Rhinolophus ferrumequinum: one gene and its partners. The protein of the gene in region 1 purifies or fractionates together with the protein of each later gene. This does not show direct contact. Links are inferred from orthologs where the notes say so. Each region holds a gene or a part of one and is shown in the gene's direction. Other genes may lie near its edges.

Region 1 (10,635 bases):
CAAAAAATGAAGGTGGACCACCTCCTTACACCATATACAAAAATAAATTCAAAATGGCTTAAAGACTTAAATGTAAGATCTGAAACCATAAAATACGTAGAAGAAAATATAGGAAGAAACTTCACAGACATTATCCAGAGTAAGATTTTTACTGATATATCCCCTCGCGCGAGGGAAGTAAGAGAAAAAATAAACATGTGGTTTTATATCAAACTAAAAAGTTTTTTCACAGCAAAGGAAACCATCAATAAAACAAAAAGGGATCCTACTGAATGGGAAAAGATATTTGCCAATGATATATCTGATAAGGGATTAATATCACAAATCTATAAAAAACTCACTCAACTCAACTCCAAAAAAACAAACGACCCAATTAAAAAATGGGCAGAGGACTTGAAGAGACATTTTTCTAAAAAGGACATACAGATGGCAAACAGACATATGAAGAAATGCTCCACCTCACTAACCATCAGAGAAATGCAAATAAAAACCACAATGAGATACCACCTCACCCCAGTCAAAATGGCTATCATCAATAAATCAACAAACAAGTGCTGACGTGGATGTGGAGAAAAGGGAACCCTTGTGCACTGTTGGTGGGATTGCAGATTGGTGCAGCCACTATGGAAAACAGTATGGAGGTATCTCAAAATCTGAATATGGAACTACCCTATGATCCAGTAATTCCACTCCTAGGTATCTATCCGGAGAAATCCAAAACTCCAATTCAAAAATCTTTATGTACTCCTATGTTTATTGCAGCACTATACACAATAGCTAAGACATGAAAACAACCGAAATGCCCATCAGTAGATGACTGGATTAAGAAAATGTGGTACATTTATACAACGGAGTATTACGCAGCCATAAAGAAGAAAGAAATCTTACCATTTGCAACAACATGGATGGATCTAGAGAACATTATGTTAAGTGAAATAAGTCAGACAGAGAAAGATAAGTACCATATGATCTCACTTATTTGCGGATTCTAAAGAAAAGAATAAGTGAATGAACTGATCAGAAACAGTTTGGGAGACAATGAGGAAAAACTGAGGGTTGCTAGATGGGCGGGAGGGGTGGGGGGTGGGGGGGAGGGTGAGGGGATTGGAGGGCAGTCGGTGACCACAGGATGGCCACGGGGTTTGAAAATTAATCTGGGGAACGTAATTTGGTGGTTACCAGAGCGTAAGGGGGTTGGGGGGTGGGGGATGAGGGTGAGGGGGATCAAATGTATGGTGATGGAAGGGGAGCTGACTCTGGGTGGTGAACACACAGTGTGATTTATGGATGATGTGATACAGAATTGCACAACTGAAATCTATGTAATTCTACTAACAATTGTCACCCCAATAAATTAAAAATAAATTTAAAAAAAAAAAAAGAAAAAGAAAATGTGGTACATTTATACAACGGAGTATTACGCAGCCATAAAGAAGAAAGAAATCTTACCATTTGCAACAACATGGATGGACCTAGAGAACATTATGTTAAGTGAAATAAGTCAGACAGAGAAAGATAAGTACCATATGATCTCACTTATATGCGGAATCTAAAGAAAAGAATAAGTGAATGAACTAATCAGAAACAGTTTTGGAGACAAAGAGGAAAAACTGAGGGTTGCTAGATGGGCGGGGGGGGGGGGGGTAAGGGGGAAGGTGAAGGGATTATAAAACAATCAGTAACCACAAGATGGCCATGGGGTTTTGAAAATTAATCTGGGGAACGTAATTTAGTGGTTACCAGAGGGTAAGGGGGTTAGGGGGTGGGAGATGAGGGTAAGGGGGATCAAATATATGGTGATGGAAGGAGAACTGACTCTGGGTGGTGAACACACAATGTAATTTATAGATGATGTGATACAGAATTGTACACCTGAAATCTATGTAATTTTACTAACAATTGTCACCCCAATAAATTAAAAAAAAAAGTTATATGAATGAGTCATCTATGTATTTATTTCCTCCAATAATCTAATAGAAAGTTCTGAGCTAAAGCTAGATGATATTTTTGACATCTGCAATATTGATCTTGAAGTCCAGATATTACTTCCTATTCCCAATTCCAGCAATAATTGGCTTATAGACTCAGTTGATAAAGATTTCAGTAACACTAACTTAACTACCAGGGAACAAGATAGTTTTATGAAGATGTCAAGTGACATCTCATTAAACTGACGTTAAAGGAATGCTCTCTGGCAAAGATTTGTGAAGCAGATTAAATAGAGAAGTTAAACTGGGACATATTTTCTACTTTTCTCCAACATTGGTAATCGTAGTTCAGCAAAGCAACATCATTCATCAGAGTAAATTAATATTACTAATGTGAATTGTTTTGAGTTTATGGTTATTTAAAGTTTACTCTGATTTTTATGTTCTATAAGCACTATAAGCGTAAGGAGCTTATAAATAATGTATGCATTTCGATAAAAAATAACTTGTCAACATTGAGGAGGAGGCTTTTTTTCTGTTTAAAACAGGATAAACAAAATTAAAAGGTAGAATGAACATTACTCGATTTTAAGAAATACTATTCTACCAAATTCTCCTTCTTGCTTAAGTTAAATTGGCTTTGTTACTTGAAGCCAATAAAATTCTAAGTAAGACCTTACCCCTAGAGTTGTAAGAAATAGATGCAAACCATAAAGTACAATACAAACGTGAGATATTTACTACACAAAGTAGATTCTTAAGAAATGGTTTTCTTTTACTGAGCAGGGAGAGGTGAATTAAGATAATATTAATAATATGTAAAGTTGTAATAGTCCCAAGATTAGCCAATAGCCATATGGATAATTATACTGTGTGTTTAAATTTAATTTTAATTTGTAAAATAATGAATACATCCTTGTTGTGTAATCTTTCATAAATAGAATACATAGAAAAAGTGAATCTCTCCCCTTCAATCTCCATCCAATCTTACTCCCCACTCCAAAAGACTGTTAACAGTTTGACATCCACCCTTCCAGATCTTTTTCTATGTACTTACATACACATATGTGGACCTACACAGGTATTCTATTTTAGTTTGTACATAAATGGGATTATACAGAATATATTCTGCAGATGGCTTTTGTTCTTTTTTATAGAATGTGTCTTGGATACATTGCTATAATTTTTTTAACAGGACTTCCTTATTCTTTTAACCCACAGCCATTTTTCTGTCCCCTGGGTTGGCAACATTAAGAGTGAAGACCTCTTACCCCCAAAACAGCACAATGTCTTTTTAGAATGTAAGTTTACAAACACAACACAAAACACAAAGGTGTTAAAAAAAAATCCAAGGACTTCAAATAAATTCAAGCAAAGATGGAGTTGCCATCGGTACCTGAACAATCTTTCACTTCAAAAAACAAAACAAACAAACAAATAAAGAAATAGGGGTTAGAAGGGGGGAATTTCTCTAAATGTCAAGGTCTGAGTGGATCTGGAAATACATGGATGTATACAAACAAAAGGCCAAAATCAGAGAGTCTTCTTTTTGTTTAGGCCAAATCTTTTTGTTTAGGCCAAAATCAGAGAGTCTTCCTTAAAACTGATTCTCGCACTTGCTATATATATATACCCCATTACCAAGTCCTGTTGTTTCTAGCTCCAAAATGTGTCTTGAATCTTCCCATGTCCAGCTGTCTCCACACCCATCATCATCTTCTGCAGGGGTTCCTTTATCAACCTCCTAATGGTCACTCCAGATCCTCTTTTGGCTCTAATCCATTATTCACATAGCTTTTTGGGTGATGTTTCCAAAAATGCACAACTATTCACGTTACTGTGCTGCTTAAGGTCTTTCGATGGCTGTGTTTGGGTTTTAGGAGAAAGTCCAAATCCTTTAGAAAGTTTATACACATTCATTTTAAAACGATTTATTGAGTGTCTACTCTGTTCCAGGCACTGTTGTAAGCACTGGATACAAAAATGAAGACAAAAATTCCTACTCTTGAGAAGATTATACAAATTATACTCTAATGGGGACAGGGAGAGAAATAAACATAACAATAAAAGTATATATTATGTTATAGGAAGATAAACACTGTAGACAACAACAAAGGGGGAGAGGAGGAAAGGGGAGGGTGAAGAAATTGCCAAATGCCCCCTGGAAGGCAAAAATGCACCAGTTTGAGAACCACTGATCTTTAGTTACAGGAGAGAGGGTAAAGTATTATCAGAGGATGATAAGACAACTACTCAATATAGGAAATGAAAGACAAAGCTGAATTCGTTGCTTACTAGAGACAGTGACAGCCATGCTGGTCAGGCACAGGCTTTAAGCAGACCAGACTGCTAATCTTATATTGGATTTTGAGAAATGGGAATTCAGGGATTGGTGAACTTTCAGGGGTCTAAGTGTGTTGACCTCATATGTAGAAGTGAAACTATTGTTGATTGGTTGGCATTCAGAGGCATGCTTACTGAAGTGAATTTCTTTATGAGTGGTTGATTTTCAGCATCAAAGGGTTGTCCTTGATTGGGCTTGCAAAAGCATGTTCACTCCGATGAGTTATTGATCAATTGAACTTAAAACTGGCTCTGATTTCTAGCTGTTACCATGAGAATGTGGGAAATTAAAAAATTCCCAATACTCTATATGCTAGAGAATAGATGAGGTGATGGAAATTTGTGGAAGTCTTCTGATTGCTTAAATTTTTAAGTGAAATAGGAAACAAGCTACATCTGTGGATGGGAGGGGGAAAGATGCTAGGTGGAGACGTTGAAGGTTTGAGGAGAAAGATAGAAAAAATCACATATGAAGATGAGAGAGGAAGTGGACTAGGGAAATACCGTGTTTCCCCGAAAATAAGACCAGGTCTTATATTAATTTTTGCTCCAAAAGACACATTAGGGCTTACGTTCAGGGGATGTCATCCTGAAAAATCATGCTAGGGCTTATTTTTCTGGTTAGGTCTTATTTTCGGGGAAACGCGGTATAGTATGATTACTGGGCAGAATTAAGGGCCACTGGGGTCGAGAAAATAGAGACAAATCAGCATGTCGTAAATTTTTCTTTAACTATATCAGCTAACTGGGTGCAGGAGCAGACTAGTAGAGACTTGAACTCAACTCAACTGCGATTGAGGTTTTGCCAAAGAAGTATTATAAAGCAAGAAAGGTTCAAGGAAATTGAGAGGATATTCAGAAGAATATATTATTTTTAGCTCATTTATTTTTTATGATGTTGCCAAACATCTCAATAGTAGAAAAAATAATATAATGCCTATCACCCAAATCCAAAAATTAAACACATTTCGCAATCTTCTTTCATCTACTCCTCCACACATATTCTTTTCCTCAAGAATTTTCAAGCAAATCCCAGACATCATACCAGTTCACCCATAAAAACCTCAAGATGTATCTCTTATAAGGACTTTTAAAAAACCGTAATCACAATGCCACTATCACATATAACAAAACTAACAATAATTCTTTAATATTAATTCAGTCCATATTCACATTTTACCAAGGAAGGATGACAATGATTGGCAATGAACGTAAGCTGGCTAAGGAGAGAAGAAATAAGAAGGAGGGTGGCGTTAGGGACACTGAAAAGGAGCTTAGATCAGTAGGTTAAAGGTCCTGGTAGGCGGGAAGATTATTGAAGTAAGGACCCCAGAGGGAGTGAGCTGGGAGGGTTGGTCCCACTTTCATCTTTGCCCACCTGCTCAGTCACAACAGTCTTCTTTTTCAGTTTATTATATGAAACAAACTCCTTGCAATCTGGGATGTTGTACGATTCTGAGCAGGTCTCTCCCACACTCTCACCAGCTTTAGCTTCAGCACCTGACACTATGAGGAAACTCTGCAGACTAAATTAGGTCCTCCTTTTATACCCTTGGTTCTTCTTTGAAGCACTTACAATCATAATTTCAAAACTATAGTAAAATATATTTATTTGATGTCAATGTCCTCTAAACTATGTTTCCTTTGTTCACTGCTGTCACTGCCAGCCCCTAGGACAGTGTCAGTAGGACACACTCAATAAATATTTGTTGGACAAAGGAAGGAGTGGTCAATAATGTCAAATGCCACAGACTTCTAAACCCACCTGTAACACAGTTTCTAAGAAGGATTCTAAATTATTTACTCTCAAGTGAGAGTCGCCAATTCCTCACTTGTAAGAAGACCTAATTTAGGAAGGCCATATAACTTAATTACTTGAGGACTAAATTGGGCCCCTCATCCTGCTGAATTTGGAGAGACAGCCCTCTGAAAATCCCTTTATCAGCCCAAATAAGCTCATGAATAAAGGGACGATTAATTTAGGTTTAATCACCAGAGCCCTTCCGTTGGGGTTTACCTCGTTCTAAAATGGCCAAGAAGGCGTGGGCCTCCGCGGTCAGACTCTGCGTGCGGGGCGCGTGGCCAATCGCGCGGGAGGTTGCCCGCAAGGAGAATCTTAACCGCCCAGAACGGAAGTTTCTGAACCTTCAAACCCACGGGGAAGCAACTCGGCAACGGACCAAGATGGCGGCGCCCAGTGAGGAGCCTGCGTTTGCCGCGGGAGTTGAAAAGAATTGGGGTGCAGTTGTTCGTTCCCCAGAAGGGACTCCCCAAAAAATTCGGCAGCTGATAGATGAGGGAATTGCTCTGGAAGAGGGAGGCGCGGAAGCGTGAGTTCGCTATTCCACCCTGGGTCCGGCGCTGGCAGAGTGGAAAGGGTTTGGGTAACGCAGGCCTAGGGAGATCCCGTGGGTGGGCGACAACCGCGGTGAGGATGGATGGCTTCGTCGCGAGATCTGAAAGAGACTGGGGTTACTATGTTTAGTCGGCTTTAATCTCCTCGGCTTGTACTGGATTCCGCACCAACGGGCGGAATTTTGCCATAAGTCCGTTTTGGCGGGGGAAAGGAAAAAAAAAGACCAGCAGCTATGCCTACCTGACTTCTCTTATTTGGGCTTCTTGACCTTTTTTGAGCCGTAGACACCTTTGAGAGCCTGGTAAAGCTTATGAATAATAAGCTTTACCAGAATAATAATTTTCAATGTATGAAGTAAATTACATAGGATTATAAAGGAAACCCCATTACACTGGAATGAAGTTATCAAGGTAGTAGAAAAAAAGTGATGCAGTAGGAAACCCATTACATTGGAATTTAGTTATCAAGGTAGTAGAGAAAAGTGATGCAGTAACATGCTTCTTTATTAAAAAGTTAAATAATATCTAGTTATAGGTCTATTAGCTACCATAATTTTGAAGTAGCATAAACAATATTTCAAAACATGGACAACATTTTGTCGGTGACAAAATATCTGTAATTTCCATTGGTGACAAATTCACAGGTACTGCTGATGCTACTATGGTTTTATTTATTACTTTCATTCATAATTGAAGGAAGTGCTAAATTTCAATTAGAAGTTAGTAAAATAAATGTCATTTTTTTCCCCATCCAAGTTTACTGGAATCCTTTGAATTTTTTCCAAGAACCACACCTCCCTGAAGCTCTCTGTGACTGTCTGAGAAGGATTCCTACAATAAATTTCTTTTGAGTAATAATAGTTGGTGTTATCCTGGTTTTATTAAAATGACTTTTGTCTTCAGCCATTCCTCCCTCTACCACTCCCCAAGTGCTGTTGAAATGCCTTTGACTGAAAATAAGAGAATTGTTTTTGCGACTTTTTCTCCCTGAATTTTTTTCATGAAATTGCCAGAAGACCTTTACTTTGATCTGAATTTTCAAAGTGGTGCTTTTTGGGGGAGAAGTGGGTATTGAGAGTTAATCCAGGCAGAAATATCAAGATTTTTTTTTCTGCTGTTAAAAGAATTATATTTCTAAGGTGGTCCGAATTGTATAATGCATAGAAGCCTTGAGTCATATTTTGTGTTTACTAAAGTTACGCAAAATATTGTTGTACAGTGAGTAAACTAGAGGAATAGTTTGCCAGTAGAGGATGAGGGGAGCACTGTGGAAGCAGAAGTTGCTTGAAACTTAGGTATGGCCAAACTGTAAAGAGATTTGAATTCCAAACTGAAGAATTTGGATTCTATTTAGTAATTACAGTCGTCCCTTGGGTTCCGATGGGGATTGGTTCCAAGACCCCACTTCAGATACCAAAATCCTCAGATGCTCAAGTCCCTTATATAAAATGGTGTAGTATTTGCATATGACCTGTGCACATCCTCCCGTATACTTTAAATCATCTCTAGATTACTTAAAATACCTAATGCAATGTAAATAGTAACTATACTGAATTGTTTAGGAAATAATGACAAGAAAAAAAAGTCTGTACATGTTCAGTATCGAAACAACCATCTTAGGCCTAACTGCATAGTTCACATCAGCAAAAACATTTTTTTCCCCAAATATTTTCTATCCACAGTTTGGTTGAATCCGCAGATGTGGAACCCATGGACACAGAGGGTCGACTGTATTTTGAAACCATTGAAAATGTAAAGCAGAGGAATAACATGATTAAAATGATTTTTTTTGAAAGGTTAAACTCCAGAGTGGTGTGATTGATAATATGAAGTTCAGGGAAACTGTGCAAAGTGTTTAGGCAAAGTGATGCCATGAAGGGATTACCAACAGTTCTGCCTCTTTATTTTAGGAAGGACACCTCTGCCACATTCCAGTCAGTTAATGGGTCACCCCAAGCAGAGCAACCTCCATTGGAATCTACAAGTAAAGAAGCCTTCTTTAGCAGAGTGGAAACATTTTCTATATCCTTTACTAGTTCATGTGAGTTGCACTTTCTGCCTGTTCGTGGAATTGCTGTCCCCCCCCAGGAATAATACCACTTACTCTGATGTTTTAAATTTAAGAGGTATACTTGGTAAGAAATTTTATAGGAAAATCAGCATCATAAAATGTTATCCCCCTACCCCCCAAAAATGTTATCCCTCAAAGGGATTTTTGAGATGATCAAACCTTTTCCTTTTACAGAAGAAAAACTAAGCCTGAGAGAACAAATAATAACTAACATTTATATGTAATGTGTTTTCACATGTAGTATCACATTTGATCTTCACCTTAAACCTATGAAAATAGGTATTATTTTTTTATACTCATTTTACAGAAGAGGAAACAGTTTCAGGTAGGTTATGTAACTTGCCCAAGGTCAACCTGCTAACAAGTGGCAGAAGCAGGATTAGGTTCTTGGCACCCAAACTTTTTTTTTGAGACTATACTACGCTTCCTGTTTCTTTCTAGATTTTCTTTTGTATGTTAGTTATCTATTATTGTAGAACAAATTACCCTAAAACTTAGTGGCTTAAAACAAGAAGCATGTATCTCACAGTTTCCGTGGATCAGGAATCCAGGTACAGCTAGCCGAGTCCTCTGACTCAGGATTTTTCATAGACTGCAGTCAAGGTGTGGGCTGAGGCTGCATTTATCATGGGGCTCGATTAGGAAAGGATCCACTTCCAAGCTCCTGTGTTTGTTGGCAGGATTCATTTCCTTGTGGCTGTTGGATTGAGTGAGGGCTTCAGTTCTGTACTGGCTGTTGGCTAGAGACCTTCCTATGTTCCTTGCTACATGGGCCTTTCCACTGGGACAGTTCACAGCATGGCAGCTGGCTTTCCTCATAATGAGCAAGCAAGAGAGAACAAGAGAGAAGCTAGACTCTATAGTCTACAGAAGTGACATCCCAGCACTTTGCCATTTTCTATTCACTAGAGATTTTTTTTTAATGTAAAACAATTACAGACTTACAGAAAGATTGCCCAGGTTACAAAGAACTTCCTTCCTGAGTACTTAAAAGTTGCCAAAGTGATAACCTCATTACCCCCAAATATTTCCTGCAAACAAGGACTTTCTCCTACATAAGCACAATGTAACCATCAAAATCAAGGAATCCACATAATAAGTTAATCCCATCTAACCCTCAGACCCCAATTATGTCATCGTTGCCCCAATAATGTTCTTTGTATCACATGGATCCAGTTGAGAATTCTCAGTTTTTCTTTCCATTGCATGATTTTGATGCTTTTGAAAATTACAGGCCAGTTCTTCTGTAGAGTGTAGTTCACACTTCTGTAGAAATGTGTAGTTCACATTTGTCTGGTATTTCCTTATGATTAGATTCAGGTCATGCAGGAGTATCAAAGAAGTTGAGCTGTGTTCTCTTTGCATCCTGTCAGGTGGCACATGATTTTTGACTTTTCCCTTTACTGGCAATGATCACTGATTACTTGATAAAGAGAGTGTCTGTCAGTCTCCTCCATCGTAAAGTAACCCTTTCCTCGTTTGTAATTAAGAAGCGTTTTGGGGTGGCCAGTTAGCTCAGTTGGTTAGTGTGACACTAATAACACCAAGGTTGCTGGTTCAATCCCCGCATGGGCCACTGTGAGCTGCGCCCTCCTTAAAAAAAAAAAAAAGTGTTTTGTGGGGAGGTGCTTTGAAACTGTAAATATCTCATTCCTCATCAAACTTTATATAATTTATTTGTAGCAGCATGGGCTCATGATTTCCTTTTTTATTCAATGAGTTATATTCCATTACTATCATTATATATTTTGATGCTTCATTTGTCCCCTGGACCAATTTCTGATTTGAATACAGTATTTAGAACCATTTCCTTTTGTTCTCTTTTGTTCTTGTTGGATATAAATTGGTCACCACTTCAGATATGATAATCATTTATTTAACTTAAGCTAATTAAGTAATTCCATTTTATTCTCGATAATCCCAGCTCCTTGCACATTT
Region 2 (10,341 bases), about 12 Mb from region 1:
GAGTGACTACGTTGATGGTGAATACCAGAGACAGAAAACAAAGGAAAAGATATAAGATGAGTCAGGGGGTCAAGAAAGAATAGTACGCTTTGTTTGAGGCCAAATGATTCAAAATATGAAGGACATTCATGGAGAGGGGTCTGCAAACAGGTAGAAAAATCAGACCTGTGGATATGCCAGGAGAGGTTCCAGCTACCCATGACTTGAACTGGAATAAGCGGGGTGGAAAATAATCTTGTTTTTAGTCATCTTTCTTAAATGTATGTGGAGCTCACATGTATTTCGATGTTTACTATTAGCAGTGGGTCTTTACTTAGAAGTTGGTGATGTTTTTGTGACCAGAAATATGCTGTAAGAATTTAACTCTTGTTAATCAGCCTCTGGTAAAATCAGTTTCACTATATGGGGTTTCCCTTAAAGCTGCAGTTTCCAAGAACCGATCAACGAGGACGTTGAGTGAGGACTTCCTGTATAAGAAACCAGAGGAAGACAAGTATGGATGGATCTGTGGAAGCCAAAGTGTAGAGGGTGTTTTAGGAATGAAATGCTTGACATTCTTTTGGTAGGAAATGGGGAATTAGAAGGTCTTCGTGCCGGAACGTAGCATGGCTGAGTTTCATGGTACAAATAATCCCAACTAATGTATGAGTTGGGTTCCAACTGTCCCTTCAGTATTCAATGTGCCAGGCACTATGCTAAATACCCCAGATATAGTAATAAAAGACACAGTCTCTGAATTCAAGGAGCTCACAATCTGTCAGGGAGGAGGAGATAGAAAAGGGGAAAACCGTAATGCCCTATTGATAAACTTTAGTACAAGTAAGTATGTGGGATTCCTAATCCACCTATGAGCATGGGGCTGGGTTGATGTGTGGAAGGGTCGCAGAAAGCTTCCCGGGAAAAGGGATTTTAGGACTCTTTTCTAGAACTCTGAATAATTATCTTATACAGACCGGGTAGAATTATTTGAAAGTCAGTTGCAATTCCATATGGTCCAACCTAATAGAACATTACAAGGGTGTGCAGATCGCCCAGGGCAGACCTCAAAAGCTTCATTAATTCATGACTATCTTAGAACAGTGTTTTCTGTCTTATGGGTCCCCAAAGCAAGAGGCTTATGACTTCTCAATATGCAAAATCTGAAACTGGACAGATTAGATTTTTAAATCGTTCCCTCTTCTTCCCTCATTCCCTTCCTTTGCTAACTGCTCTGCTCCTTACATCCTCTGACCCAACCAAGGCCGGTGCCTCCCCTGAGGTCCTCAGGGTTCTCCCCAACTTGAATTACCCCAAACTCTCCATTCTTTAAGAGCTGATTTGTGTTAGAAAGCAGGCAACCTGACTGAATTAGTTAATGCTGATGTGTAAATGACACTTAAGCCCTGTTTACCCTCCCAGAGCTATTTGGGTCTTTAAGAGAGAATACAGGGAATCTGGTTAATTTCAAGCTGTTAAAAACAAGCCCTTTCTGTATTTGTTTGTATAGGCCATTTATAAATCAAGAGTTCAGAAGGTGGGGCTACCCATTCTCTGTTCCCCATCGATACATATTTAGTGACTTTGGTAAGTAAATTTCTGCTTCCTATTTTATATCTAGTTACATTTAACATCATTAAAATATTGTTTATTTGGCATTTGATGGACCAAAAGGAGCTTTGAAAGTTTTTTCTAACGAATTCAAGTAGAGGATTTAAAAACCTGCTCCTTCAAAAAGAATTTATGACTCATTGTCCTAAGTGAAAGAAATCATGGTATTATTTCATCTCTTGCCTGCATCTTTTGAATACTAAGCTGTGAATGACTCTGTATAGTTATAGCATATGTGTAGTTATTTTTCTAAGAGAAACTAGTTTTGCAAAAAAAAAATCCCGCATAATATATATTGCATGATTTGGATTAAAAAAACAAATTTAATTGAAAAATCTGTTTACTTGGATCCTCTTCCTTAACATACACTATTTCAAAACAAATAAGTCTTATTGTAATATGTCATAATGCTAATACCATAAGTTTTAAGGCCATAACATTTAAAACTTTAACAGAAGGAGTGGTTCATTAAATCAATGGTTCCCAAACTCAGGTCACCAGACTGACCTTGGGTAATTATATCATCACCATCATCATCTTCACAATGTTTATTAAGTATTTAATTTGCAACAGCATATGAGATACTATTATCATCCCCATTTTATAGATGAAGAAACTGAGGCACTGAGACATTAAGTAACTTGCTCAGTTACCCAGGTAATAAATAGTAAAACCAGGATATAAACTCTGGCAGTTTCAGGTTTCCTCCCCACCCCTTCCCACCCAATTTTGACTCAGTACATCTGGAATGGGCCTTGGAATCAGAATTCAAGTCCCCAGGTGATTCTGAAGCAAAGACAGGTTTGGGAACTATCGCATCAAATGAATTTACTTTGCACGGGATAGCTAGTTCCTTACTCATGTCTTAGAAATAACAGCTCATATGGCTAGTCAAGTGACGCAGTACCCTTTCACTTCATTGGTAAACACATATGTTTGGACACTCTTCAGTGTTCTTCAGGCACAATGCCGAGGGGTCTGGTGTACTTTAGGAAATAGTGCCTGGCCCAAAGCACAGATCCGCAGAAGGCAACTTCAGGAGGCACATAGAAGGCACGTAGGAGAAGCTGGTACTCAGGGAGAGATCACAAAACCTGGGTAGAAGGTGCAAAGTGGGCTTCCTAGGAGGGGTCATGAGCTGGATTTGGAAAAAGGAGCATGATTTGCGGATGCAGGAAAGGAGGAGGGAACTATTTCTGTTAGGGGAACCAATGTCAGCAAGCACTCATAAGTGGCGATCCAAAGCCGTTATCTGTAGGCCAAATGTAGGCCCAATAGACCTAGATGAAGTTGAGAGATCCTTTTGGAAAGTGGCTGGAAATAAATTGGGGAAAGTAAGTTAGGACAAGATTATTATGGTAGTGCCAAGTCAGAGTTTGGACTGAACCCTGTAAACAATGGGGAGCCACTGAAAAGTTTCAAAGGACAAAGATACAATGATGAAGGTCACTGGAAAGAACCATCTGCAGTCAGTCACTGCACAGGCGGCTGGAAGGGCAGAGATCAGAACCAGGAAAACTACTCAGAAGGTTAAAGAAACAATATAGGTGTGGGGAAATATCATAGTACAGGAGTGGATATATGCCGATTTGGGAGTCAGGTGATGTCACTGACCAAGCTGAGTGATTTGGAGCACATTGTCTAACATCTCCAAGTCTTAGGTTTTTCTCATTGGAAAATGGGTGTGATGATGTCTGCCACCCAGACTGAGACAAAATAAAAGACTTCTCTATGATGGGGACTAGCTCTGGGATGCAAGGTCAGTGGGTCAGGATTTGGAGTCTTCAGGCCCTTATGACTTAGAAAATGTTAGTGTTATCAATAGCAGTAGGGGAGTCAGTGGACCACCACTTAATGGTAGGTGAGGAAAGAAAGGGAACTAACAGTGAGTTTTCAGAAATTATGCTGGAATTATAAAGGAATTACTCTTCACTTAGGAGGTAGATCTTTTTATCCCTATTTAACAGTTACTAGAGCAAAAGATAGTAGTTTGAGTCTGAGTATAAAACAAAGTCTGCCTAAATCTAAAACTTGGCTTTTTGAACTTCATCATATCATTTGGGACTTGTAAAGTTCTATTATTTCACTGGTTTTGGCTAAATAGTCTAATCTGAGACTATTTTGCATTTTGATTCTGACATCTATCAAATTAATGATCCCTCCTAACTGTGGTCATCTTAAAAAGGGACATCAGTTTTGCTATGATGGCGGAGAAAGATGGAGGGAAGAGGTTTTGCAGCGGAAAGTAGATGCCCTGGATCCATCAGGTACGAGGCAAGAGTATCCGCCCAGAGTGGAAGTAGTGTAGATGCAACCTGGCTGTGAAGTGCATAAAAGTCAGTGGAACAGTCTAATTGCTAAGAATGATGATGTAGACGGGTGGAGAGGAGGGGATATAAGGACGTTAAGAACCAGGAATTGAGGTGGTGAGAAGTGGAGGCACAAGTGGACTAAATACTGCCATTAGGCAAAAATAGAAGGTGGCGGAAAGAAATAGTAAAGGGAACGCTGACCCACTCAACTAGTGTATTAACTGTGGGAAGTCACAGACAGGGAGACCATATTGAATGATGAGAGTGGAGAAGACAGGTTAGGGAAGATGGAGGTAAGTTGTTGTCTGAGGAAAGCACAGGTTCCAATAGGCGAAGAAATGAAGATATAAAAAAAGCCATATATGTTCTGTGGAAAGCGCTGTCCACAGGAACAAGTCTTCCATTTTTACCTTCAATCTAGTCTTACCATGTGCCCATAAACAAAGTTGTTTCAATACATCTAAATTTTCTTTTGACTAGGTTGTATAGAAGTATAGGATATAAACCAAGAATTGTACATCCTTGCACAGACTGAGATTACATACTTTGGTGACAAGTGCAGACAACGCAACACTTCTGAAGATATTTAACAGATGTTGACAATAGGCCACATTTCAATAGGAGGAACCACATATACTGGTGGGACATGTCTCCTAAGAGAAGCCCATGTGACTCAGGAAACTGGACTCTGGGGGTGGCCCTCTGCTCAGGGCCTAGGATTGCTACCCCAAGGTGTACCAGAATATCTGTACTGTTTTAGTTTAGAGCAAAACTAAACTAGAGGAAGTTCCACTCATCGTGTCTTTTGCCCAGATAGGATCATTTGAAATCCTTCCTTGCTTGTTCATGCAATTAGCCAGCTCTCTGGCATGTTGTGAACCATGGTACTCCAAGGCCCATGCTTTCTCTCTGGCACCGTAGCAAGCCAGGTGCTGCCAAAGTCTGTATTTAGAGTATTCCAAGTCCCCAACGGTGACAGTTCAATTTCAAGTGAATGCAATTAACTACTTCAGACTACACGTGGAAAAGATAGTGTTTTAGTCACACCTCATGCCATCCTTTTATGTAAATGCTTAAATTCTATCCTTGATTTGTCTTTACAAAGAGTAATGGTAAAGTGATTCTTTGTCAACATTTGCCCCCTCCCCCCCCAAAGAGTTGGTTCAAGTTTGAAGCGGGAAGCGTCGTATAGTTTTATCTTAGAACCGATTCTAAGGAGCGAGAATGAGGCTCAGAAAAGCTCAGGCTTTCAGGTGCTGATGGCTAAGGCCTCAGGTGAACAGGGGCTCCAGAGCGGACTACACGCTTCTCCGACGTCTGCGCCTGCTTTTCAGAGCCACTTGCCCATCTCCGCCGGTCTCATCAGCCAGCCGGGGATATTCTTTGGTAATAGTCCCGGTCCGGGGAGGCACGTTGATTGGGTGTAGTTGTAGCCGTGTTCCAAGTCGGTTCCGGGTGTGTGTGTGTGCGCAGGAGGAGGTGGAGGACCCTCTCCTTCGGGGTGTACTGGGCCACTTTCTCCAGAGGTCCGTGTCCCGAACCTAAAGCGGTGACCCCTCCTCGTTGGGTCGGAAGTGGCGGGAAGCCGGTCGTTAAGAGGCGGCCCGCTGTCGAGGGAGGCTGTAAAACCTGGAGGAGGACCCGGTCCGCCCGGCCCGGGACGGCGCGGGGTTCCGGGCAAGGGGCCCCGGCTTTCAGGTAGAGATCCCCCAGGCGAGCGGAGCCTCGGGCGGCGCGGGACGGGGGACCCCGGGGCAGTGGCCGCGGCGGGCGGGAGGTTTCCGGGCCCCTCCCGCGCTCGGGCTGGTGGGGAGATGGCGGCGACGGTTTCCCGGCTCCCCCGCCCCGGACGCCGATGGCGGTGCGTTCCGGCCCTCCCCCCCCAGCCTCTCCCCCACGGTAGCCGGAGCCGGTGAGGCCGGGAGGGCGGGGAGCCGGGGAGGAAAGGCGAGAGGGCGGAGGTTGCGCGGTGCAGGCGGCGGCGGCGGGAGGAGGGCCGCGGGCGGGCAGGGGAGGAGGAGGAGGCGGGAGCCGTGTCGCACGCAGCTCCAGGCGGGGCAGCCCCGGCGGCTCAGGGACGCAGCCAGACCTTGGCGGGACGGGGATTTAACCGGGGCCCAGGCCCAGCGACCAGGTGGAGACGTCGCCGGGGCCATTACGGCAGCAGGGACATGCGGGTGAGTGTCGCGGCGCCGGGGCCGAGGAGAGGGGCGGCGCAGGCCCGGCCCGGAGCCGCGGTGTCGCAGTGACTGGGGCCGCGGCGGCCGAGCCCAGGCGCCGGGCGAGGCCTGAGTCGCCGAGCCGCGGCGGGGCGGAATGGCGGCCGGGCAGGGGGACTCGTGGGCGGAGGACGCTGGGGGCGGGAGCCGAGCGAGCGGGGCCGGCCCTGAGTCACGGCGGCCGGCTCGGGCCTGGCCGGGCCGCGGCCCCGGACGCGGGCTCGGGGCGGCCAGGCCTGGACTACGCACTGGGAAAAAGCCCGATTCATCGCGCCGGCGCCGGCGGCCTTGTGGCGCCAGCCTCTTTCCCCACCGCGACCGGGCTGGGGCTGCAGAGCTGGGCCGGCGGGCGGCGCTGGGCAGTTCGGCCATGCGCGCCTCGCCTCCCCTCGTGCGGCGACCCCCACGGGGCCTCGTGCCCTTTCCCCTCGGGATCGCTTCCCCCCCGAGCGTCGCGTTTCCCCCGACTCGTGCTCGCCAATAAGTAGTGGGCTCACGCGCCGGGGGAGCCGCGGAGCCGGCCGCTCTGCTTTCCGGTTCCCTGCCCGCGGCTCTCGGTTCCCCGCCTGCATTGTTGCGACTGTGCAGGTCACTATTATTGGGTAATAGTCGTCGTTTTGCTCCGTTCCCTCGGGGGAACGGGCCGGGTAGGCGCGCAGGGATGCGAGTGCAGCCGCGGGACCGGACGGAGCCCCCCGGCGCTCGCGCGTCGGGCCGGGCCCGCGCCGCGGCTTCGGCGCGCCCCCGAACCTGCGCCCGGCGGGAGCGCGCGCTGACCCAGCAGGTAACCCGCGCGCGGCCCCGGGGCGCTCTCTGCCACCTGGGGAGCGCGGCGCACTGTAGACACGATGATGGTCAAGAGAAAGGCACATGCTTTATGAGCGTTCCTGGAGACGAATCTCCAAAGTTAAGGGTTTTCTCTCTAGCGATCCCTGTGCCGAAAATAGGATTCTGTTTTCCGATTGGATGGCTGCTGTTGCTTTTAGTTCGTAATTGGGGTTAGTGGTTAGCGTGCAAATACGGAATTGCAGTTAACTTAGGTATTTATTTGCTCTGTGTAATGGGTCTTCCCCGGGTGACATTAAAACAGTCCAAGTTAGTCGAGTAAATGGTCACGCTGTTTTTGAAAGGCACTTATTGGGTGACAGAGGGGAACTAAAGTCACTTTTACTTTAAGCCCTGAGCTTCTAGGACCTAAACATATCTTTACACTCAGCAGATGGGTGTGCAATCTTAAGTGTAACATTCCCTTTTGTGGCCACCCTGTCCATCTGACTTTCTGAAACCCTGGAGAGTTTGTGTGTTGTGTAGCAAAGGAGAATGATTAAAAAGCAAGAGCAATCATTGGGTTTAGAAAAAAATAGGATATGAGATTTTTTGTTTGTTAAAAAAGGTTCTTGGATATTAGAAAAAATTTTACTTGAAAGTTCTGTTTCTGCTTTCTATGGCAATTGGACATCGTTGCATCACATTTCACATTCCGAAGCTGCAAACACAGGACTGGCTCCCTTTAATTCTATTATGACCATTTTTGGAGGTTTCAGGAGTGCTCATTAAGCTTAAGAAGGTTGGCTGAATTATTCTCTAAAAATGTTTCAACTTTTTTTTTCTCATTGGTGTAATCTTTTAAAAACTATTTTGCCAAAGGAAAAAAAAGACTTTAACTATACTAGAACTTTTAGCTAATTTATGAAATCCACCCTCCTTGTGTAAGATCACAAGCTCAGGTCCTTGCAAGCATGCCCCTCCTCTCCTAATGTACTATCAGATAAAGTATCAAGAGGACCAAGGGACAAATGAATGCCTGAGCTGATACTGCAATTTCCTTAGCTATTACAGCTTCTTGGACTCCTCTGCCTCTTACTGAATGTTATCTTGTGTCTTAATTGTCTCCCGTGCATTTCAGACTATGAGTTCCTCGAAGGGAGGGGATCGTCCTTAGTTATTTTTGCATCCCCAAAGTAGCATAGGACTTGGTCATGGGTAACTCAGTTGTTTTTTGAAGGAGTAAATCTTCTGGAAAAATTCCAACCTAATGTTTGACCACTTCTGATTTTGGCTGCAGAGAATAATCACTGCACTTACACTGGTTAATAAAGAATGCAAGCTTTAAAGAATAAGAAAAGAAAAACAAAAAAGAGGCAAGTTTTATTATAATTCTTATTGTAGTGTTCCAGTATCCAATAGAGGGCCCCAACAGAAAAAACGCTCAGGTTTTCTTGAGCTGTTGCAATCCAGGAAAGTGCCAAGAAAACAAGTTTTAAAACTTGAATTTGCTAACCCCCAGCTGGTTTTAAGGTGTAGATTTTGTCTATTTTTTAAGAAAAAGACCGAGCTCTTTTTCCCGGTAGATATTTGCACCCTTGACTTTAAAATGAAATGGCTTGATGGTTGAGGTTCTTGCCTATACGTAGACATGAGGCAACCCCAGTGGTGGTACTAGTCTGCTGTGACAGCTCTTACAGGGGGGACCATTCTTGGGTCCTGAGGACCTTGTATCAGAAGTTCACTCCTAGTTTACCCAGCGGGCATAGTGTACCTTTCTTTCAGCATGGGAAGTTAAAATGAATATGCTTTAAATTGAGGTACTTGCCATTCTTCAAAATTAAAAATTAGGGCCCCAAACACTTAGGAATGTGTGTGTATTCTTGGCTATTTCAGCCCTCCATAGTCCCAAAGCCATGGGCTTCCTACCCTCAACAATCGAGTCAGTCTAGAATAAAATGTCTTTTGGGGATGAATTTTGAACTTGTTTTTCAGATATGTTTGGAGAAAAGAGTGTACTATTTTTAAGGACCAATTCGAAGTTTGCCTGTTTTGTGTGGGTTTTTTTTTTTTTTTTTTTTTTTTTTTGATATCTGGGAGTTTCTCAGTAAGGTGTGCCCTTTTGTTTGCTTTTCAAAACTGAGAAATGAACATTATATGAAAAATAAATCAGATTTAAATAAAACCTTAAGTTTCTTCTATTACTAAGGCCTTCAAGCTCCCTGTTTATAACATATACGTTTAATAATGCACGGCATAAACAACATCATTATTATAACACTTAATAACTTGTAAAGTTTTTATTCACACAGATACTTTCTGGCTTCTAAAAAAGCTGTGTTTTATTTTTGCTTAGCCATAGAACGTTTTGCTTGGGGAAGAAGACATAGGATCTAGTGTGAGCTTAATTTTGCTGGACCTCCATTTCCTCATTTGTAAAAAGAAGAGATAGATGATTTTTAATTGACACTGTTTGAGATTTCCTTAGGCCTCAAAGCCTGTGGATTCCATGGGGATGTCATAGCTTTTAACATTAACAGCATTTGGAAAACTGTCCTATAAAGCATAATCTTATTGATGTTTGAAAAGCAGAGTTGTGAAGCCTAAGTTAGAAAGTCATTTAAATTTTTCCCCTTGGGGAAACTTGGACCAAGTAGGCAGAGTCCCCTCCCAGGCTTCCCACTCCCCGCTTCCGCGTCATTGCAGCACCAGTTCCCCGAATTTCCCACGCTGCTCTTTCCTCTCCTTTTACTCATGCTTCTCCTTGGTCTGGGGTTCCATGTCCCTTCCTGGCACCCAACAGGCTCCTGCTCCTTCAAAAAGGCAGGGCTCAGCTCAGGCCCTGATACCACCCCCCTCCCAACCCAGGCTAGGAGACTTCCCTGGGATCCCATGAACCCCTTAATCTTTTGACCGGACTTGGTGGTTTCTCCCACTAGACAGACCTCCTTTAGGGCAGGGACCGTGGGGTGCGTGTCTGTCCCCCATGTCTTAACACGTGGCCCACACTAACATTCGTTTAATTCCCACTTTGTTCATGAGCATCCTCCCACTTAAAATCTTCACCAAACCTCATCAAGGGTAGGCACTATTGTTTAGTTCACCTTACGGCAGGTAGGGTAAGAAACTGAGGCTTTGAGTGGGTGAGGTGGGACCGAGGAGGTGATCAAGCCTGAGGTACAAGAATGGGACTCCAGAGCTCCAGCTTTTAACCAGACACCCCTACATGTGGGATTTCTATGGTGGAAGGTGGCGGAGGAGAAAAGATCAAAATGAAAATGCTCTGATGCTCTAAGGATTGATATCTGATCATTGATCTTTACGACAGAGTTCATTCTGCAGAACTCGGTGGATTACCAAGAATAAGCTTATACTAATTGGTCTTTTAGTAGCTGGTGGACATTGAAGGAGAGTAATTGGCCACTGATGGGATAGAAGTGAACAGTTCTGGAATTTGG
Region 3 (10,576 bases), on another chromosome or scaffold:
TATCTTTCCGGGAATGCTTCAGCACAATTGCTCCATCTCCTGTCTTCCAGGACATTTCTGTTCTGCTCCCGTCCACGTTTCTGTGTCTGGCAGATGCGGGCATCTTGGATAGCAGGGTGGTTTCTCACCTCGGGAATGCTCCCTGCCCTGTAGGTGTCACCCCAGACCCCAGGGGTGGACAGATCGGTGTCTGGAACAATCTCTGGCTTACGAGTAGTCAGCCATGCGATCATGTGCTGACCTCTTGAACCTGGCATAGAGTTCTCCATTCGGGGAGCAGTATCATTTGTCTCCCCACAACACACGGAAATTCACGTCATCTAGGAGACAGGGTCAGTGGAAATCGTCTGTTAATACCACAGGTGGGAAACCTGTGCTGACGTCAGGTTTCAGCACTGGTGACTTCAGAGGCCCAGGAAAGGGCCTCTGGGTTCACACAGAAACCGGAGCCGCAGGCCTCCCGGCTCCTCGTGCTGACCGGCTCCTTCTTTCCCAGGACTCTTCTCAGGGGAGCTCCCAGAATGCACCCAGGAGCTGATGATTGACGTCACCAAGAGCTACTACCAGAAGTTCTTGCCCTTGACACAGGTCTGATGTCTGCCTCGCGTGGGGCATTCGCTTGGGCTCTCAGATGAGCTGGGGCGGTGCGTCAGTCGGCATCTGCGAAGAGCTTTTGTGTCTTTGACACCTTCCACCCCTCCTTTTCGGTTGTTCTTGGGTTTTTTTAATTCTTTAGAATTTCTCAGCCCTCCGTGGCTTGAAGCTCTTAAGACTTTAATAATAGAATGTCCGGAGGAGTTGTCTCCAAATGCTGTGCTTAAAGTGTATCTATTAACAGTCGCTCATGCCATTATCTGTGGGACAGGCTCCTCTGCCCCCCTGCACTCCTACCCTGGGCGCTGGGTGGGCGCTGGGCCCTGCCTGGCACACGCTGAGAGCTCTGTCGCAGCACAGAGGGTGTGGGGGGGGCAGGGGTGCTGCTCGGCGTCGTACGCTCCCCAGCCCCACGGGCCAGTTCCAGCTTCCTGCTGCGTCGTCACAACTTCTCATCATCTTGAAAACAAAAGTGTGTGGCTTTCCAGAGCGCAGAGTGCTGTTGGCTACAGAAGCCTGAAGGATGGGTGCTTAGCGTTCCTTCCCTGATGACCTTAACTGTCTTCTAACTGAGGGTGACTTTCTAGCGTTCTGTTCCAGGGCCTTTAGTTTTCACTAATAGGGTGGCCGGCAGCACCCGGATTTTAGCTTTGCAAAGTCCGGGTTCGAAGTCCCATGTGGATGGACCGCTCTGGCAGCCGCTCCTGGCCTCGCGTTTGGGGGCAGCAGTTCACGGCTTCGACAAAGACGCAGCATTGGCGAACCTTGTCCCCTGGCCTGGAGCCAGTCACCTCCCCCTGCATCTGCCGGAACCTGCATGTCAGACCGAAATGCCGACTTGGGCCCAGTCACGTGCACATGCGGGGGCCTCTTACAGTCGCTCTGTGGGCACCGCACCCCGAGCCCCAAGTAAGTGAGGCTGCGAGTGCCGTTGGCATCACCTTCTGTTGATGGCACAACCCTGCCGGCTCTGCTCTGACCTCTCGGTTTAGACGATGGACATGGACGTGCAGGCCCGAGGACGGCGGCCTGGCTCCGCTCCGACTCTCCTGCCACGGGGGGGACAGCTCAGCCTGGAAGCCGGATCTTGGCTCAGTATCCGGTTGTGGGGTTTGCAGAATTGGCTAACGGAATGATCGCCACTCATTCGATGTAAAACTGGTTCCTGGTTTGTCAGTTTTTTTATGTTTGTACATTAAAAGATTGATACATGAACCGAGTCATTTGAAGGTGATAGCTGTCCCCCTCCAGTGATGGCTTCCTGTGTCTCCCGGGCACTTTGCTCCGTGCCCGGTGCCCGCTGCAGGCTTTTCAATCACTGGCCCGCTCCTGGCTCACACCAACCCTGTCAGGTGGTTGTTGCTCCATTTACAGGGGAGAATGTTAGGTACTGGGGTACAGGGGCTGCCCCAGGTCTGGTTCCACTGCCCAGGCCCTCAGCTCTGCCCTGGTGAGACGGGACACGCCTGCCCCTGGAGCACACCTGCTCTGCGTCCTGTGCGACACGAGCAGTTTGTGATGGGTGCAGGTTCTTCAGCCATTTCCCGGCCTCTCCGCCAGCTCCTTTCCCCTTTCGTGCCACCAAAAAGGTGAATCTTGGGGCTGGCAGAGCTCAGGTGCCCCCTAGGCTGACGGAACACCCTTTTGCTCCCTAGAGAAATCTTCCAGGTGATGCAACACATCACCGTCCCGTCTGTGTGTGAATACCTCGCCGCTTTATGTGACTAACTGTCCATTCTCTTTTCAATTTTACTTTTGCAGTTTTATTGAGATATAATTGACATATAATTGACTATCCAATTTGTTGGTGAACAACCCAAATTAAGAGAAAGTGGTGTGGGCCGGCCCAGTGGTTCAGGCAGTTGGAGCTCCGTGCTCCTAACTCCGAAGGCGGTTCGATTCCCACATGGGCCAGTGGGCTCTCAACCACAAGGTTGCCAGTTCAATTCCTCGAGTCCCGCAAGGGATGGTGGGCAGTGCCTTCTGCAACTAAGATTGAACACGGCACCTTGAGCTGAGCTGCTGCTGAGCTCCCGAATGGCTCGGTTGGAGCACATCCTCTCAACCAGTAGGTTGCCGGTTCGATTCCTCGACTCCCGCAAGGGATGGTGGGCAGCGCCCCCTGCAACTAGCAATGGCAACAGGACCTGGAGCTGAGCTGTGTCCTCCACAACTAAGACTGAAAGGACAACAACTTGATTTGGGAAAAAGCCCTGGAAGTACACACTGTTCCCCAATGAAGTCCTGTTCCCCTTCCCCAATAAAAAGAAAAGAAAAGAAAGAGAACATGGGGCGTGGTTTTTTATTAAATTAATTAATTTATTTTTTGAGCCTCTTAAATAGAATTTTAAAATCTTTAAGTCATTCAAGTACATGATTCCAAAAGTGCCATCCAGGCAGGAAAGCAGGGACAATACTGAAGTCGGTGGACCCATCCCGCGTCCAGCCCCGTATTCTGCTCCCCAGAGGCAGCCGCCGAGCAGGTTCTGGGCTCTCCTGCCAGGCGGTCTGCGTGCGCACACGGGGTGTCTCTGTCGCACTCACACCGGTGCTGCCGCTTTGCTCTGGCTGCTGTGACTCGCTGTGTCTTAGAGAGGGCTCCGTACTGCCACACACAGGATTAGAAACAGCCAGGTAGCCTCCTGACTCCTTTCCGTATATGAATCCCCTACTCCTTGCAACCACTGCGAGGCAGGTACACCTACTCTCCCCAGGAACAGAGGCTCAGGCAGGACCTCCTGTCTCCTAGTCACTGGCTGGACCTCCTCCCTGTTGTGACGCCTCTCAGTGCCCTAGATGTGTCACCCCGCCAGCCCTTGCTGTGCAGAAAGCTGAGAAAATGCGTATTTGGGTGTTTCAGGCAGGCAAGGAGAAGGGGGTGGGATGGGTTTGGGGTGAACCATCCAGCGATGTCTGCCCCAGGCAGGAAGCCTCGTGTCCCCTCTGAGAGGGCAGTGTCCTTACACTGTGCCCCGTGGTCTTACAGCTGCAACTGGGGTCTGAGTCGTTAGATGGGAGCAGGTTTCTCCGGAGAACTGTCTTGCTTGCAGTTGTTAATAGTGTCTGAAGTTCTGTACCGTGTGGCTGGCGCTCTGTAAAGAATACACTCACTAGATGAAACAGAAATCCAGTTAGCAGGCTTTGCTGCAGGTGACAGAAATCCAGCTTGAAGTGGTTTAAGCAAAAAGGGGCGTTTTGTTGGTTGGCGTCTGTGGTGGCTTCTGAATCCCGGAGTGAGCCAGTTCACTCTGCCTGAGGCCACAGTTCTTAGTCACTCTGACCCACCTGGGTGCGGGCAGACTTGAAATGACTCAGACAAGCATTGCTCCTACACAGTGCGTCCTTGGGAGTTTCTCACCGTAAAGAAGGGAACTTGGTGGCTGGGGAGCTCTGTCTCAGCATCCAGATCTGGCTGGTGAGAGCCCACAGTGGGCCCAGGACCTGGCGCCTTAGCCACGTCGACGCCCTGAGCCGCTGTCCAGCACACCTGGGCGGCTGCAGTGGCGGGGCAGGTCGAGCTGGCTCATCTCCGGGGCAGCGTCTGAGGAGCTGCAGGGCTGGGGAGCTGCAGTGGCACTGGCAGTGGGGGGACAATATGTCCAGAGGCCTGCTGGTTTCAAAACAGGTGTCAGCAGAATGCTCTCCCAGCCTGGACCCATTCCCGTAAGTCCATGGTCACAGAAGCACTTGTCGAGCCCCCAGGGGCGGCGCTGTGCTTTTGTAGACCGCGCCCTGCTGCCCTTCAGGGCAGGGAAGATAGAGCCGGCTCATGCTGCGTCGCTCAGTCATGCAGTGAACAGTTAGTTCCCTGAGCCTCTGCCGAGTGCCAGGCACTGCCCTGGGTCCCGGAGGCACAGTGGAGAAGGAGATGGAGCCAGGCCCTGCCCGTCGGGAGCGGACAGCTTAGTGGGAGACACACGAGCGGTCTCTCGTGGAGGCTGAGAGCTGCGTCCCAAAGGCCATCACAGTGCTGAAGGGCGTGGGCGCTGGACATGGCAGATCAGCTCCCAGCTCTGCACGTCCGGACAAGCTGTCTCCCCGACGAACCTCAGATGTCTCGTCCATCAAATGGGGAACATGTATAGGGACTGTGAAGGTCAGTTCCGTGCACGGTGGGATTCGGCTGTCTTGCTTTTTGCCACCAGTGAATTAGAATTTAAATTCTTTGAGAAGTGGAACCAGAGCAAGTCTCCATAACTGACGATTTTTGCTGGCATGGTTTCTGTCTATTGGAGCCTCTGGAAAGGGAGACAACATGAAAAGAGAGTCAATCCTTGGATGGAAATACACATTTGGAATTTGAAAAAGCAGTCGAATTGCTATTGAGCCCTTGCTGAATGAAATCTAATGTCTGAGCCAGACTGGTTGATGGCTGTCCAGTCGGATGTGTGTATTTCTGAGTGGGTCAGTTTGGACTCAGACTGACAAGATGAAAAGGAAGCCTCGCTTCTCACTTGGGCTTGGACCATGGCTGTCTGGCACTCAGCTTCTGCCTCTGCTGCTGCAGAAGAAAAGCCGCTGGCTCCCTGGGAATCCCGAATTCACTGATCCTGGTTGGTGGGGCCTGACTGGAAGCTGAAAACAGACCGGCCGCCATGCTCTGTGCCTGCTTCCCCGGGATCTGCGCGGGACTGGACTAGGCCCAGGACCACAGGAGACCTAGGACCTTTCGGAATCATGGACACACACATCGCAGCTGCCAGCTGGACCATCTGGGTCACATACAGATGCCCACAGCAAAGGGTTTGTTCTCTGATGGGACCCTTGAAATCAAGCTGCTGACCGGCCGTTTCTCTCTGCTGCAGAGGCGAATTGCATCCTGAGTTGTGATCCCTGCCAAAAGCTGCCAATCGGGGGAGGCCACATCGTGGGGACTGTGACCCCTCCTCCTGCTTTTGACACATGAGCCTCTGGGCCCCCTCTGGGGAACAGCTCACTGTTCTGCTTCTGGATTATTTGCAACTTGGCACAGCGGCCAATGGCCTGACTCTGCCTCCCCACTTTCCCTGGAACAGACACTGGGTAAGGTAGGTTGATTACTCCAGTGTGGCTGTTTCTAGGAGGCGATTCGTCTTTTCTAGGCTGCTCTCTGGATAAAAGGGGGAGGAGGTTATGGAGAAGCTTTTTGAAATTGTTGAGAATTCAGGATTTCATCCTCTCTGAGTCTGCGCAGGCTGCTGTAACCAAATAGCGCAGACGGGAGGGCTTCAACCGCAGAGATTGATTGTCTCTCAGTTCTAGAGGCCGGAAGTCCAAGATCAAGGTGTCAGCAAGTTTGGCTTCTCTTGAGGCCTCTGTCCTTGGTTTCTCCTGTGTCCTCACGTGGTCACCCCTCTGTCTGTGCGTCTGTGTCCTGCGCTCTTCTAAGGACACCTGTCATATTGGATTAGGGCTACCCTAAGGACCCCGTTTTATCTTAGGCACCGCTCTAAAGGCCCCATCTCCAATACAGTCCTGTTCTGAGTTATTGGGGTTGGGGCTGCAGCACGTGAATTTTGGGGGACAACAATTCAGTGCATAGCACATCTTGACCAATTCCTGAACACGTCTTTCTGGTTACTTGCTTTTATGCCTTTTGCGCACAGTCCTTCCAGATGGAAGGCCTGGATTCGAGTAAGAGGTGACTGACAAATGCAGACTTAGGATTGCGGATGGGCCGGACACGCTGCTTTTGTAACAGTGGAGCAAAAGCAAAAACCTGGCCCCGGGGAGCCTTGGGCAGGTGGAGGGCATTTCATATCTTTGTTCTGCAGAACTCCTCCTGGAAGCCCTCCCTTGAGCACGACCTGGGGGGCACAGCTGGCAGCACCATGACCTTACTGTCCACGCAGATCCCCTCCAGGTGCCATCCACACTCATGTGATGGATAAACTGGTATCCTGGGCAAGCAACACTGTGTGGAACTGGCTCCCATTGGGCTCCCGCAGGCTCCCCATATGCAGTCCCTCGGAAACCGAGGACTGGACCAGTTTCTCAGACTGGACTGGCAACCCCAGGGCAGGGCCCCATGATAGGAGGGAGGCGTCCCGGGGGACCTATGAACCTCTGCTGCCTGACTAGTGTACGTCCCTCCTGGGGTACCCTAACATCCCCAGCTCGTTTCTGGGGGGCTGCATGTGTCCTCTGGGTCACACTGTGTGTGCCCATCACCATGCTGGTTCAGGCTGCAGGTCAGCCCGGACTCCCTGGCCACAGCTGTGCTGTACCGGCCTCAGTGCCTGGGGTAAAACGACTCCCAGAGACCAAGGAGCAGGCCACCTGGCTTTCGAAGGTGGGCTTTTATGGTGAGCGGGGTTCTTTGATTTTAACTGGCTAATCCAGGACCCTAAGAGGTACTGAGATCAGTCCTGCAGGTTGGCCTGACCCTTCTGTGTGATCCTGGTGCAAAGGCACCTGGGCCAAGGGGTGAGCTTGCAGAAAAGGTAACAGCAGGCCTGAGGCTGCTCTCCTTACGAAGGCCTGCTGCGGGTTGGCCCTCGGCTGGCGCCTGGGAACTTGGACTGGGGGAGGCTTCTCACCGTTCCCTACAGGACGAGCAGCTCACTCTGCCTGAGCTGTGTGTGTAGACTGTGGTTTTGTTGAATACCTGCTTTCCTGTGGTAATCTGGAATCCGGTGTGCCCGGCAGGGGGCGCTACGTGAGCAGCCCCGGTAAAGCCCTGGGCACCGAGTCAGCTCCCCTGGTAGACACCATTTGGCATGTGTGGTCACAGCTCATTGCTGGGGAATTCAACATGTGTGACCCCACTGGGAGAGAACTCCGGGGAGCCTGTGCCTGCTTCCCTCCGGACTTGGCTTTCTGTGCCTTTCCCCTGGCTGATTTTGCTTCCTAGTCTTTCGCTGTAATGTCATCAAACGAGGAGGTGGCCTTGGGGACCCCCAACACAGGGCACAGGGGACTTCTGGGTGTCAGCAGCGTTCTTTCTCAGTCTGTTTACATGGGTGTGTCCAGTGTGTGAAACGTCGCCGAGCTGTGCAATTATGATATGTACACCTTTTCTGTACGTAGAATCAACTTCAACAAAAAGATGAAATAGAAGACTACACACCACGAGGATAAAGAATAATAACTTAATTTTTTGTTTAAACTCCCTTTTATTCAGCAAACGTTTGTCACCCCTTTTTACCTGGCGTTGCTCTGGGAGCCTGGGACATGGGGTAGGAGGGACGTCATCACCTCCTCTCAGTTTGTTGGGAGGCAGCTAAAGAGCGACTCAGAACGTGGGGGTTCTTGTTAGGCTCCATCAAACGCCTCGTGGGGCGCTAGGGACACAGAGAAGGGCTTCTGACTTGGGTGATTTGCCAGGGTTGCCACTCATGTATCTATGGAAGCCAGACAGTCAAAGGGGCAAAGGGGCCACAGCGGGGACCAGTGACAAGCTGGGAAAGTATGGAGGCATAGCATTGCCAGAGCTGCTAGCTTTTTTCAGGAAAAGCCACAGACCTGGATTTTTATGTGAGCTCTGTTGATTTTTGAGTGCTGTAAAATGAGTCATTTTAAAAAGGGAGGAGCCAGAGTTGGCCTCGGCCTACCGGTTGCCAGGCACTGTGCCAACCGGTCTGCTCCCTGGGCACTGGGAAATCCAGCCTTGAGCAAGCCAGACCTGCTGGCACGGTGGAGCCCTGCACGGTGCTTCTGAAACCTGTGTGTGTGTAGGACTCGTTAGGCAGATGGAAAGGCAGGTTCTCCCGGCAGGTCTGCCCTGGGCCTTGAGTGGGGTCTAACAAGCTCCCAGGTGAGGGTGATCCCGGCGGCCCCTGCACCGCGGGTTAAGTAGAGCTGCTCCGTAAGCCAGAAGGTTCCAGGAGCAGCCAGTGCTGGCAGGACGGGAGGAGGGGCCTTGCCCTGAACGTGCAAATTCCTGGCCAGCATCCTGGTTTTGCTTCGGTTTTAGTTTATTTGGGGTGTCGCAGGAGAGAGCTGATGGCGTGGGAGGCTTGTGCCAAGGCTCTCCCAGGCTACCTCTTGGCGCTGCCCGGTCTGTATCCGGAGGTTAAGTTCTAGAAGGCGGGTGGGTGTGGAGGAAGGTGTAGGGAAGCTTCCTGGAGGAGGTGCCTGTGAGCGCAGGAGCGTCCCAGGCGGCGGAGAAAGGGAGAAACCCCCCACTCCCGCTCTCCTCGGGTTGGCTGCCCAGCCACCCCACGTGGCTGCTGTGGGTGAGCCCCCGTCACTCAAGGTCGTGTGTCCTGCCCCGACCCCCCCAGCCCGCCTGCGTGAGGTTAAAAGGCTGCTGCGGGCAGAGCGCTCCCAGAGTGCCGCGCGGCGGGCGGGTTTGGATTTTAAATCCCCGCGGCCAATCAGTAGCGCGCAGGCCTTTGTAACGTTCCCGGCGCCGCGTTTGAATTCGAGGAGGAGCCGAGCGGTGTCAAACCTCTGGCCAGACCCTGCTAGGGCCGCTGAGCAATTCCGGGGACATGAACGCGGCGGCAACTGCAGGGAAGCTGGCGCGGGCAGGAGCCGAACCAGGGAAAGCCGGGGGCCCCGGAGCTGCAGCTCCCGGGGCCCCGGCGGCCGGCCCGCCGGCGAAAGAGATCCCGGAGGTCCTAGTGGACCCACGCAGCCGGCGGCGCTACCTGCGGGGCCGCTTTCTGGGGAAGGGCGGCTTCGCCAAGTGCTTCGAGATCTCGGACGCGGACACGAAGGAGGTGTTCGCGGGCAAGATCGTGCCCAAGTCGCTGCTGCTGAAGCCGCACCAGAAGGAGAAGATGTCCATGGAGATATCTATTCACCGCAGCCTCGCCCACCAGCACGTCGTGGGCTTCCACGGGTTTTTCGAGGACAACGACTTCGTGTTCGTGGTGCTGGAGCTCTGCCGCCGGAGGGTGAGTGTCGCTGCGGGGGCACTGGGGTTACTGGGGGCCGGGCTTGGGGCGCTCCGACCCGGAGCTGCCGGAAAAGGGGCGCCCGGGGCTAGGAGGTGCTGGGAACCCCGAGCTTAGAGGTGGGAAACGTCTCGGCCGAGCTTGGAGCTGCCGGGGGAGGGGGTTCCGGTGACGTGAGCCGCGGTCGTGCTGGCTGCTGGGGACGGTGGCTCCTGGACGCTGCGTGTGGGCGAGGGCGGAGGCCACTTGGGGGGAACCTTGGTAATGAACCCGAGGGCTTCCGGATTGCTAAAGGTGGAGTCCCCGGGAAGGGGTGCTGTGGACGGGAGCTTCCGAAGTGGCGTTGGATCTGGGAGACCGTGGGTGGGGCCAGACTTGGGAGGGTCAGCAAAGGGGTCTGCTGCTGCCAAGAGGCCGAGGGGAGCTGAGATAGGCGTCCTAAGTCAGGGAGCTAGTGGGAGAGGGGCTGCCCTGAACGATTGTGGTCAGGCTCGGGAGAGGCCAGAGGCTGGTTGTCCTGGAGAAGAAATGGGAGGGGGTCCTGGGCCTCCCTCACCTGATGCTGCCGCCGCCGCCCTGGGACCTCGGTGGCGACCCCCCATTTCCTCTCCCCTTCCCCCACGCAGTCTCTCCTGGAGCTGCACAAACGCAGGAAAGCCCTGACCGAGCCCGAGGCCCGCTACTACCTACGGCAGATTGTCCTGGGCTGCCAGTACCTGCACCTGAACCGCGTCATTCACCGGGACCTCAAGCTGGGCAACCTCTTTCTGAACGAGGACCTGGAGGTGAAAATAGGTGAGGTGCTGGGCGCTACAAAGTGGGGGTGAGGGGACAGGGAGGGGGTCGGTGGTCAGCAGCCCCGGCTGACGGCCGGCTCTGAATTTCAGCCTGCAGTTCTACAGGACATCTCTGTGGACTGACTGTGTGCTCGCCACCCAAAGTCTGTTTCCCTGCGACGCCACGTTTCTGACTCCCTGTCCCCTCCTCCTCCTCCCCCTACCCCTTTCCCCCTGATAGCCACCCTTCTGGTGTCTGTACCTACGAGTTTGTTTGTTTGTTGCTTTCTATTTTATATGCCACATAGGAGTGAAACAGTTCTTGTCCCTTTCTGTCTGACTTATTTCACTTAGCAGGATACTCGCCAGATCCATCCATGTTGT

Evidence for each region. The genes of interacting proteins can lie anywhere in the genome.
Region 2: the proteins of ZC3HC1 (region 1) and CUL1 purify together in Homo sapiens (affinity purification with western blotting; 3 studies listed by BioGRID, with this or other methods). This does not show direct contact. The link is inferred for Rhinolophus ferrumequinum from reciprocal best matches to the Homo sapiens genes ZC3HC1 and CUL1.
Region 3: the proteins of ZC3HC1 (region 1) and PLK1 purify together in Homo sapiens (affinity purification with mass spectrometry; 3 studies listed by BioGRID and IntAct, counting the BioPlex papers as one, with this or other methods). This does not show direct contact. The link is inferred for Rhinolophus ferrumequinum from reciprocal best matches to the Homo sapiens genes ZC3HC1 and PLK1.

Annotation. Positions count from the first base shown.
Region 1 is NC_046309.1:16,463,008-16,473,642, forward strand, and holds the start of ZC3HC1 (zinc finger C3HC-type protein 1), read left to right. Parts: upstream 1-6,410; 5' UTR 6,411-6,455; coding exon 6,456-6,601; intron 6,602-8,536; coding exon 8,537-8,648; intron 8,649-10,635. UniProt on the Homo sapiens protein: Required for proper positioning of a substantial amount of TPR at the nuclear basket (NB) through interaction with TPR.
Region 2 is NC_046309.1:4,749,045-4,759,385, reverse strand, and holds the start of CUL1 (cullin-1), read left to right. Parts: upstream 1-5,455; 5' UTR 5,456-5,597; intron 5,598-5,701; exon of another isoform or gene 5,702-5,811; intron 5,812-5,912; exon of another isoform or gene 5,913-6,076; intron 6,077-10,341. UniProt on the Homo sapiens protein: Core component of multiple cullin-RING-based SCF (SKP1-CUL1-F-box protein) E3 ubiquitin-protein ligase complexes, which mediate the ubiquitination of proteins involved in cell cycle progression, signal transduction and transcription.
Region 3 is NW_022680357.1:17,554,828-17,565,403, forward strand, and holds the start of PLK1 (serine/threonine-protein kinase PLK1), read left to right. Parts: upstream 1-5,690; 5' UTR 5,691-9,008; coding exon 9,009-9,416; intron 9,417-10,042; coding exon 10,043-10,211; intron 10,212-10,576. Other genes in the region: DCTN5 (dynactin subunit 5), read left to right, coding at 497-594. UniProt on the Homo sapiens protein: Serine/threonine-protein kinase that performs several important functions throughout M phase of the cell cycle, including the regulation of centrosome maturation and spindle assembly, the removal of cohesins from chromosome arms, the inactivation of anaphase-promoting complex/cyclosome (APC/C) inhibitors, and the regulation of mitotic exit and cytokinesis.